Linked DNA regions of Macaca mulatta. The protein of the gene in region 1 interacts with the protein of each later gene in a pairwise test. Links are inferred from orthologs where the notes say so. Each region holds a gene or a part of one and is shown on either strand. Other genes may lie near its edges.

Evidence for each region.
Region 2: the proteins of SEC23B (region 1) and HOXA3 interact in binary tests that used the Homo sapiens proteins (3 or more experiments, as listed by UniProt). The two-hybrid records come from large-scale screens. The link is inferred for Macaca mulatta from reciprocal best matches to the Homo sapiens genes SEC23B and HOXA3.

The regions. Positions count from the first base shown.
Region 1 is NC_133415.1:65,485,505-65,489,318, reverse strand, and holds part of SEC23B (protein transport protein Sec23B), read left to right. Parts: 5' UTR 1-6; coding exon 7-227; intron 228-1,698; coding exon 1,699-1,756; intron 1,757-3,814. UniProt on the Homo sapiens protein: Component of the coat protein complex II (COPII) which promotes the formation of transport vesicles from the endoplasmic reticulum (ER).
Region 2 is NC_133408.1:101,193,338-101,197,251, forward strand, and holds the start of HOXA3 (homeobox protein Hox-A3), read left to right. Parts: upstream 1-1,057; 5' UTR 1,058-3,700; intron 3,701-3,914. Other genes in the region: HOXA7 (homeobox protein Hox-A7), read left to right, coding at 744-1,057. UniProt on the Homo sapiens protein: Sequence-specific transcription factor which is part of a developmental regulatory system that provides cells with specific positional identities on the anterior-posterior axis.

The DNA.
Region 1 (3,814 bases):
TAGACTATGGCGACATACCTGGAGTTCATCCAGCAGAATGAAGAACGGGATGGTGTGCGTTTTAGCTGGAATGTGTGGCCTTCCAGCCGGCTGGAGGCTACAAGAATGGTTGTACCCCTGGCTTGTCTCCTTACTCCTTTGAAAGAACGTCCAGACCTACCTCCTGTACAATATGAACCTGTGCTTTGCAGCAGGCCAACTTGTAAAGCTGTTCTCAACCCACTTTGGTATGGATTCTTTTGAAACTGGTAAAAATGATAAATACAATATATTATGACTTTTATGTGATGCTCATAAAAATCATTAAATTTGGGCAAGTCATCAAATTTGTGATGAGCAGTAGTGAAACTCTTAATGATTCTTGTGGTGAGTAGTAAGTGGTGAATATTTGTAGACATCTCCCTGGCCTGATAATTCCAGATAAAATTGGAATCTTACAGGAATGAGGTAGAGGGAGAGGATTTGTAATTCACTTTTTTTTTTTTTATGCTGATAATCAGTTTGCTTTTGGCTTAACTATAGACTTTATTGATTCCTCTTAATTTCCCAAAAGAATTCAAAAGCTTAGACTGTCTTGTCATGCTTCCCTGGTACAGGGATGCCATATGGCAGGGAGAAGTAGCAGGCAGAAGAAATTTTAGCTCTTAACAATTTGTTAAGTGTAATTTTTGTGTGTGTGTCCCTGATATAGTGACCTATTTCTTTTAAATGTGGACATTATTTGAAATGATTTTTAAACAGGTGGAGAGTGTCGTAACATTTTTATATGAGGGAACATTTTTTACTTCATTCCCATTGCTTTTATTTAATGTGCCCATATATGAGTGCTGCTCTGATGTAAAATCGTAGCCACTGGTTATTAATTTTCTCCATGTAGAAAGAAGGGGAAAAGTACCTGAAGCGTTATCTTGAACCAGTTCGAGGAAGTGAAATGTGCTTGCCCAACTTTTCTTCAAGTGGTCTAAGTCAGGTTAAAATCTAGAAACATTTTCCTGTGTGTGAAATATGCTCTTAATGTTGGGATTTAGTAGTTTCACGTAGCTGGACAATAAAGATGTTAGAAAAAAATCATGAAGAGTATGTTAAGATAAAAGGCAAAAGGGAAATAACCTATAATTTATATAAATCATGACATTTAAAAAATTAGGAAATCGGCCGGGCGCGGTGGCTCAAGCCTGTAATCCCAGCACTTTGGGAGGCCGAGACGGGCGGATCACGAGGTCAGGAGATTGAGACCATCCTGGCTAACACGGTGAAACCCCGTCTCTACTAAAAAATACAAAAAACTAGCCGGGCGAGGTGGCGGGCACCTGTAGTCCCAGCTACTCGGGAGGCTGAGACAGGAGAATGGCGTGAACCCGGCAGGCGGAGCTTGCAGTGAGCCGAGATGGTGCCACTGCACTCCAGCCTGGGCGACAGAGCGAGACTCCGTCTCAAAAAAAAAAAAAAAAAAAAATTAGGAAATCGAGAAACAGAAAAAGAGATTTAGTATTTCTTCACTGTGGCTATTTGATGGAAATTTTGGTGTACTTAGCCAGAATTCTAACTGCAGTGAACATTTTGCGTACTTGTACTTACTTACGCATACACATAGAAATATTTATTTGTGTGATTTACTAAACTTGAAATTTATAAATAAACGCTTTCTAACTTAAAAATAAAAGTGGTACCTACTAACAATATTTATCTTTCTCACAGTCAGGTTGATTATCGAGCAAAACTTTGGGCCTGTAATTTCTGTTTTCAAAGAAATCAGGTATGTGAATTATTTAACAAAATATGTTATATGTTTTAGTTGTATTATGAAAAAAGTTGTTAGGTTGAATTTGTGTTTACACTGGCAGTGAGCAGTTTCTGCTGAACTCAGGGTGATAGCTTTTGGTAAGCACAATATTGAATTTGAACATTTGTGGTTTATTCTGTTGAATGGTTTTCTTGAGTCCTTGTCATTTGCTTGGGACTGGGGGCAGGGCGCTCATTGAATTCCCTTTTACACATTTTCTGTAGGCAGTGAATCTGTGACCCTAAGAAAGCACCTGTTGTTCATATTTCTCTTGACTTCGGTATATTCTAATTGGATAGTGTACATTACTAAATTTTCGTTTTCTGATCTTTCTAACTTTTAGGGTCCAGGTATTAGTGCTGAGCTTCTTTTGATTTAAAAATTTTTAAAGTACCAAACTAGAAGGAGCTCACAAGTCACAAGAGAGACTTCTCTATAAAAATAACTGTGCGGCCAGGCACGGTGGCTCATGCTGGTAATCCCAGCATTTTGGGAGGCTGAGGCGGGTGGATCACGAGGTCAAGAGATCAAGATCATCTTGGCCAACATGGTGAAACCCCATCTCTACTAAAAATACAAAAATTAGGCCAGGCGCGGTGGCTTACGCCTGTAATCCCAGCACTTTGGGAGGCCGAGGCAGGTAGATCACGAGGTCAAGAGATCGAGACCATCCCGGCCAACATGGTGAAACCCCCTCTCTACTAAAAATACAAAAATTAGCCTGGCATGGTGGGTGCCTATAGTCCAAGCTACTTGGGAGGCCGAGGCAGGAGAATCCACCTGAACCTGGGAGGCGGAGGTTGCAGTGAGCCGAGATCCATGCCACTGCACTCCAGCCTGGTGACAGAGCAAGACTCCGTCTCAAAAAAAAAACCAGAAAATTAGCTGGGCATGGTGGCACATCCCTGTAATCCCAGCTGCTCGGGAGGCTGAGGCAGGAGAATTGCTTGAACCCGGGAGGTGGAGGTTGCAGTCAGCTGAGATTGAGCCATTGCACTCCAGCCTGGCGACAGGGTGAGACTCCATCTCAAAAAAGAAAAAAAAAAGTAACTACGTGTAGTGGAAGTGTTCTAAGACTGGATTGTGGTAATTATTGCACAACTGTACATTTCCTAAAACTACTTGACTTGTGCACTTAAAACGAGTGAAATTTTTTGTAAACTATACCTTAATAAAGTTGTTAGAAAAAAATTGTGTCTACTGTAGTGTACACTGTTCTAACAGATCTTAAGCTCTTCACATGCATTTGTTCATATATTTGATCATCATTACAATTACTCATTCTCAGATGCAGCACATAAGTCTAGTGATGAAGAGAACAGTGTGCAATTGATGACTGACTATAGGTTCAGAAACTATAAGCAGATGTCATTCAAAATGTATCTTCATGAGAGATTCAGAAGTATATACAAATCTTGGCCGGGCGCGGTGGCTCACGCCTGTAATCTTAGCACTTTGGGAGGCCAAGGCGGGTGGATCACGAGGTCAGGAGATCGAGACCATCCTGGCTAACATGGTGAAACCCCGTCTCTACTAAAAATACAAAAAATTAGCCGGGCATAGTGGCGAGTGCCTTAGTCCCAACTACTTGGGAGGCTGAGGCAGGAGAATGGCGTGAACCCAAGAGGCAGAGCTTGCAGTGAGCCGAGATCGCGCCACTGCACTCCGGCCTGCTGACAGAGCGAGACTCCGTCTCAAAAAAAAAAAAAGAAGTTATACAAATCTGAAAAGCATATCTGCTCTCTATTACATTTGGGATTAATGTCTCTGTTTAGTATAATTTATTATAAAAATTCTAAGGCAGGGTAGCATAGTGGCTAAAGAGCCAGAGATTTGTAGCTAGACTGCCTGGGTTTGACTCTCAGATCTCCCACTTATTTCCTGTGTAACTTTGGGCAGGTCACTTAACTGCCTATGCCTTCATTTCCTTGTCTTTAAAATTAGGATGATAGTTTAGTATACCTATAGTCACTTCATGAGATTATTGTGAGAATTAAACTGACTTAATGAGTATAAAGGACTTAGAACAGT
Region 2 (3,914 bases), on another chromosome or scaffold:
GCATTGTATGTAAATGAGGCTCATAAAACTTTTTATGGCCCAATTAATGGGTTCGATCCTCGTAAATTTATTTAACTCCATTTGCCTTGGAATTTTAACATTAAGTTTGTTCGCTATTCTCTCTTTCTCCCTCTTCTGTCACCCTCCCTCCCTTTCTTCTCTTCCTCCTCCTTTTCCTTGCTGCCTGGCTTTTCTTCCTCAAAAGCTGGGAGAGCCAAGCCCTCCAAGGCCTCTCACCCGACCCTGTGCCAGGGGCCATTTCAAGATGGGGGCGAGGGAATGAGGCCAGAGGGTCGGGGTACCCTAGGAAGGTCCTGGGGATTGAGGTCTCAGGCTGCTGGGAAGGGTCGCCCACTTGCCTAGCAAGGTGGGGGAATGGCCGGGCTCATCTTTGAATGGCAAAAGTGCAGCTTTTCCCACTTGCCCACACTCTATATTTACAGTTTTCCTTTGTCAGGGGAAGCAGGACATTGTGGAAGCTTAGCCGGCTGGAAAAGGCGGTTGTAAAGTTGGGATTCTGTGCCTTTGCTAATTACAGAGCTGCCTGCGAGTCTGGCACTGCAGTTGGGGTCTTTCCCTAACACCCCTCCTCCTCCCCTAGCTCAGTTTGGGGCCTGGGGCAGAGGGGGATGCTCGCCTGGGACTAGGCCAGGAGGAAGGTGTGGGCTCTGGGACAGCAGCCTAACGAGTGCCCTGTCTACTTGTCTGTCCGTGTGTTCCTGTGTCTGCATGTCTGTTCTCAGGACCTGACAGGAAGCGGGGCCGCCAGACCTACACGCGCTACCAGACACTGGAGCTGGAGAAGGAGTTCCACTTCAACCGCTACCTGACGCGGCGCCGCCGCATTGAAATCGCCCACGCGCTCTGCCTCACCGAGCGCCAGATCAAGATCTGGTTCCAGAATCGCCGCATGAAGTGGAAGAAAGAGCATAAGGACGAAGGTCCGGCTGCCGCAGCAGCTCCCGAGGGCGCCGTGCCCTCTGCCGCCGCCACCGCTGCCGCGGACAAGGCTGACGAGGAGGACGATGATGAAGAAGAGGAAGACGAGGAGGAATGAGGGGCCGAGCCGGGGCCCTCGCTGCACCGGACAGTCGGAAAAGCGTCTTTAAGAGACTCACTGGTTTTATTTACAAAAATGGGGAAAATAAAAGAAAATGTAAAAAAAAAAAAAAAAACAAAGAAAAAAAAAAAAAAAAAAAACAACGAACAAACAAAACAGTCCCCAACCTGCACTCTACCCGGCCCCCATCACCTACTCCAGCTCCCAACTTTTGTGGACTGAGCGGCCGCAGCGACTGGGTCGCCTTGGATTCCCTCTGCCTCCGAGGACCCCAAAAGACACCCCAACCCCAGGTCAGCCGGCCCTGCGCTGGCGCGGCCAAAATACTACCTAGCACAGGCCTCTGCTCGAGGCACCCCCAAACTACCTATGTATCCAGCCCAGAGGGCCTCCATTCCCAGGAAGCCCCTATGTATCCCAGCACTGGCAGACACCCAGCACCACCCTCCCAGATCCGCAAGAACGTGAATCTCACTACTACCTACTCCCCTAAAACTACCTATTTTGTGCTGGCTGGCTTGCCTGCTACCTAGTGCCGACTGCTCCCAGACAAGGCCCCTGCTGCTTACAGCCCGCAGGTTTTGGGGTCCCTGAGGCTGCCCTGAGAATGTGCTGAGGTCCAGGATCAGGGTATTGGCATCTATTTAAATTGAAAAATAATATATTTATTCCAAAAAGCATTCTAAGTGCTGTACCCTAGAATCAATCCCTCCTTCTCTGGCTTGGCACCCAAAGTTCAGGCCCATCAACCCCCACTTCTGGAGGGGAATGTTCCTGAGCTGGCTGCAGATCTCTGGGTTACCTTCTGCTTAGTAGGACTGTGGAGATGCTCCCAGCTTCGCTGTCCTTTCCTCTGGCTCCTGTATCTTACTGTTCAGCTGTGTTAAATATGTACACCCTGACGTTTCCTATAATAGCAGATACTGTATATTTGAACAAGATTTTTTTGTTTGATCGTTTCTATAGTCTTGGAGTTCATTTGTAAGGCAGTGTCTTGACTTGGAAAGGATGTGTTAATGGGGTGACTTTGTAGCATGGTATGTTGTCTTGAGCTAACTGTAGTGGGTGGGGAGGTCCAATGCCCTCCACAATGCCCTTCATCTCCTGTGTTGTCCTGTATCCCCCTCAGCTCCATCCTGGGGTTCAGGGAAGGCACACTTCCCAGCCCAGCTGTGTTTTATGTAACTGAAAAATAAAGATGCTTGGTGACAAAGAAAAACGTGGACTACCTTATCCAGAGGAGACTGGGAAAGGGGAAGTGAGCATGGCTGGAGGGAAAGGGGCAGTGGGGAAGCAAAAGTGGGGTGGCTGTCCTTGTGATGGTCCAAGTGTTGGATGCTCATGTATTGGTGTCATGTATTTTTTAATGTATTTTTATGTGTGTATTTGTATGAGTATGTGCTTATTTTTCTGTTTATGTATTTCTGTGTGTGTGTTTTTACCTAATTTCACAATTGTGTATATTTTGGTGTCCATAATTGGGTGCATGTGTTTCTGTGTGTCCATAATTGCATGTCATTCTGTGCCCACAATAGAGTGTATGCCCTTCCCTGTGTGCATAATTGTACATGTGCCTTTATCCGTGTAGAGACGTTTGTCTGGTTTTTGTGTGCATCTTCTAGATCCCTTGAAAACGGAATCTCTGGCAGATACGTTATATTCTATGAAGCTCCCTAAAAATCTCCATAAATTCCATGAGGAAATTTCAAATCCACCCTTTCCTCTAAGGCTGCGCAGTGGGCTTGGAAAGGGGCATTATCCAGAGGCTGATTACGGATTTCGCATGCGCCCTGAACCCAGCCCCAGGCTAGGAAATGGGATTTAAGGCCCCCACCCCGCCTGCAGGCGAGGCAAGGGCGCCCCAGGGTCCCGCACTGCTGTAGGTGGCGCGGGGAGGGGCTAGGACCGCAGACCCTCGCTGGGCTGCGCAGCCTGGGCAGGGGCTGGGGCATCTGGGTGCAGGGAAGGGGCGAGGGGCGAAGGGCGAGGGATTGTGCGGGCAGCTCAGAGCATCCTGAGTTCCGCCTGCAAGACCTTGTCTCCAGTCTTCTGCCTGGGTTGGGTCCGCTTCTTATGGCTCTTTTAGTAAAACCGGGCCCAAAAGGGTCTGTAAAACCTGAGGCCCCAAGTCTGGGCGGCCTCGGTGGTAAGATGGCGCCGGTGTAAGAGCTGCCTCCTCTCAGTGATGGGGAAAGGGTCATAAATCCGTTGTTGTTTATGAAAATTTACAACTTTGCAATACAACTTTATGAGTTGTTCGGCCCTTCCATTGGCCGCTGTCGGTCATGTGGATGAGAACCGTGAACATGAACTTTTTTATAATTTCCCTTGCGAGAATAGAGCCGCATTCTTTTGCTCCGCTCCGTCCTGCCTGCTTCGGAGCTCTGCCTTCGAGCCTGGCTCGGCTGCGCTTTGTCCGGAGATGGCGAGCAAAGGGAAGCCCCGGCCAGGCCAGGCCTGGCGGCTCCCGCTGGAGATGAGGCGCGCCCCGTTCCCGGCGCCGCGGCGGCAGCTTTGCAACTCGCAACCTGGCTAATTTCCTGCGTCCTCTGGCACCAGGAAGGAGGACAATTCGTCTTTCGGGCTGCCCAAGCGACAGCTGTCACAGGCGCAGGAGCTTCTGAGAGTCGCCGTCTGAAGGTGAGACATGTGGGGAGGAGATAGGAGTAAAGGTGGTGAGGTGACAGCTGGCGGCAGCAGCGGTGGGAGAGGGCACCCAGGGAGGCTTTAAGAGGGGCACACTCCCCCTTACCATACTCACCCATTCACACTCGCCCCCATCACACACTACAGCACACACACGTCACACACACAGGCACACACACGCGCGCACACACGCACACACACCACTCCC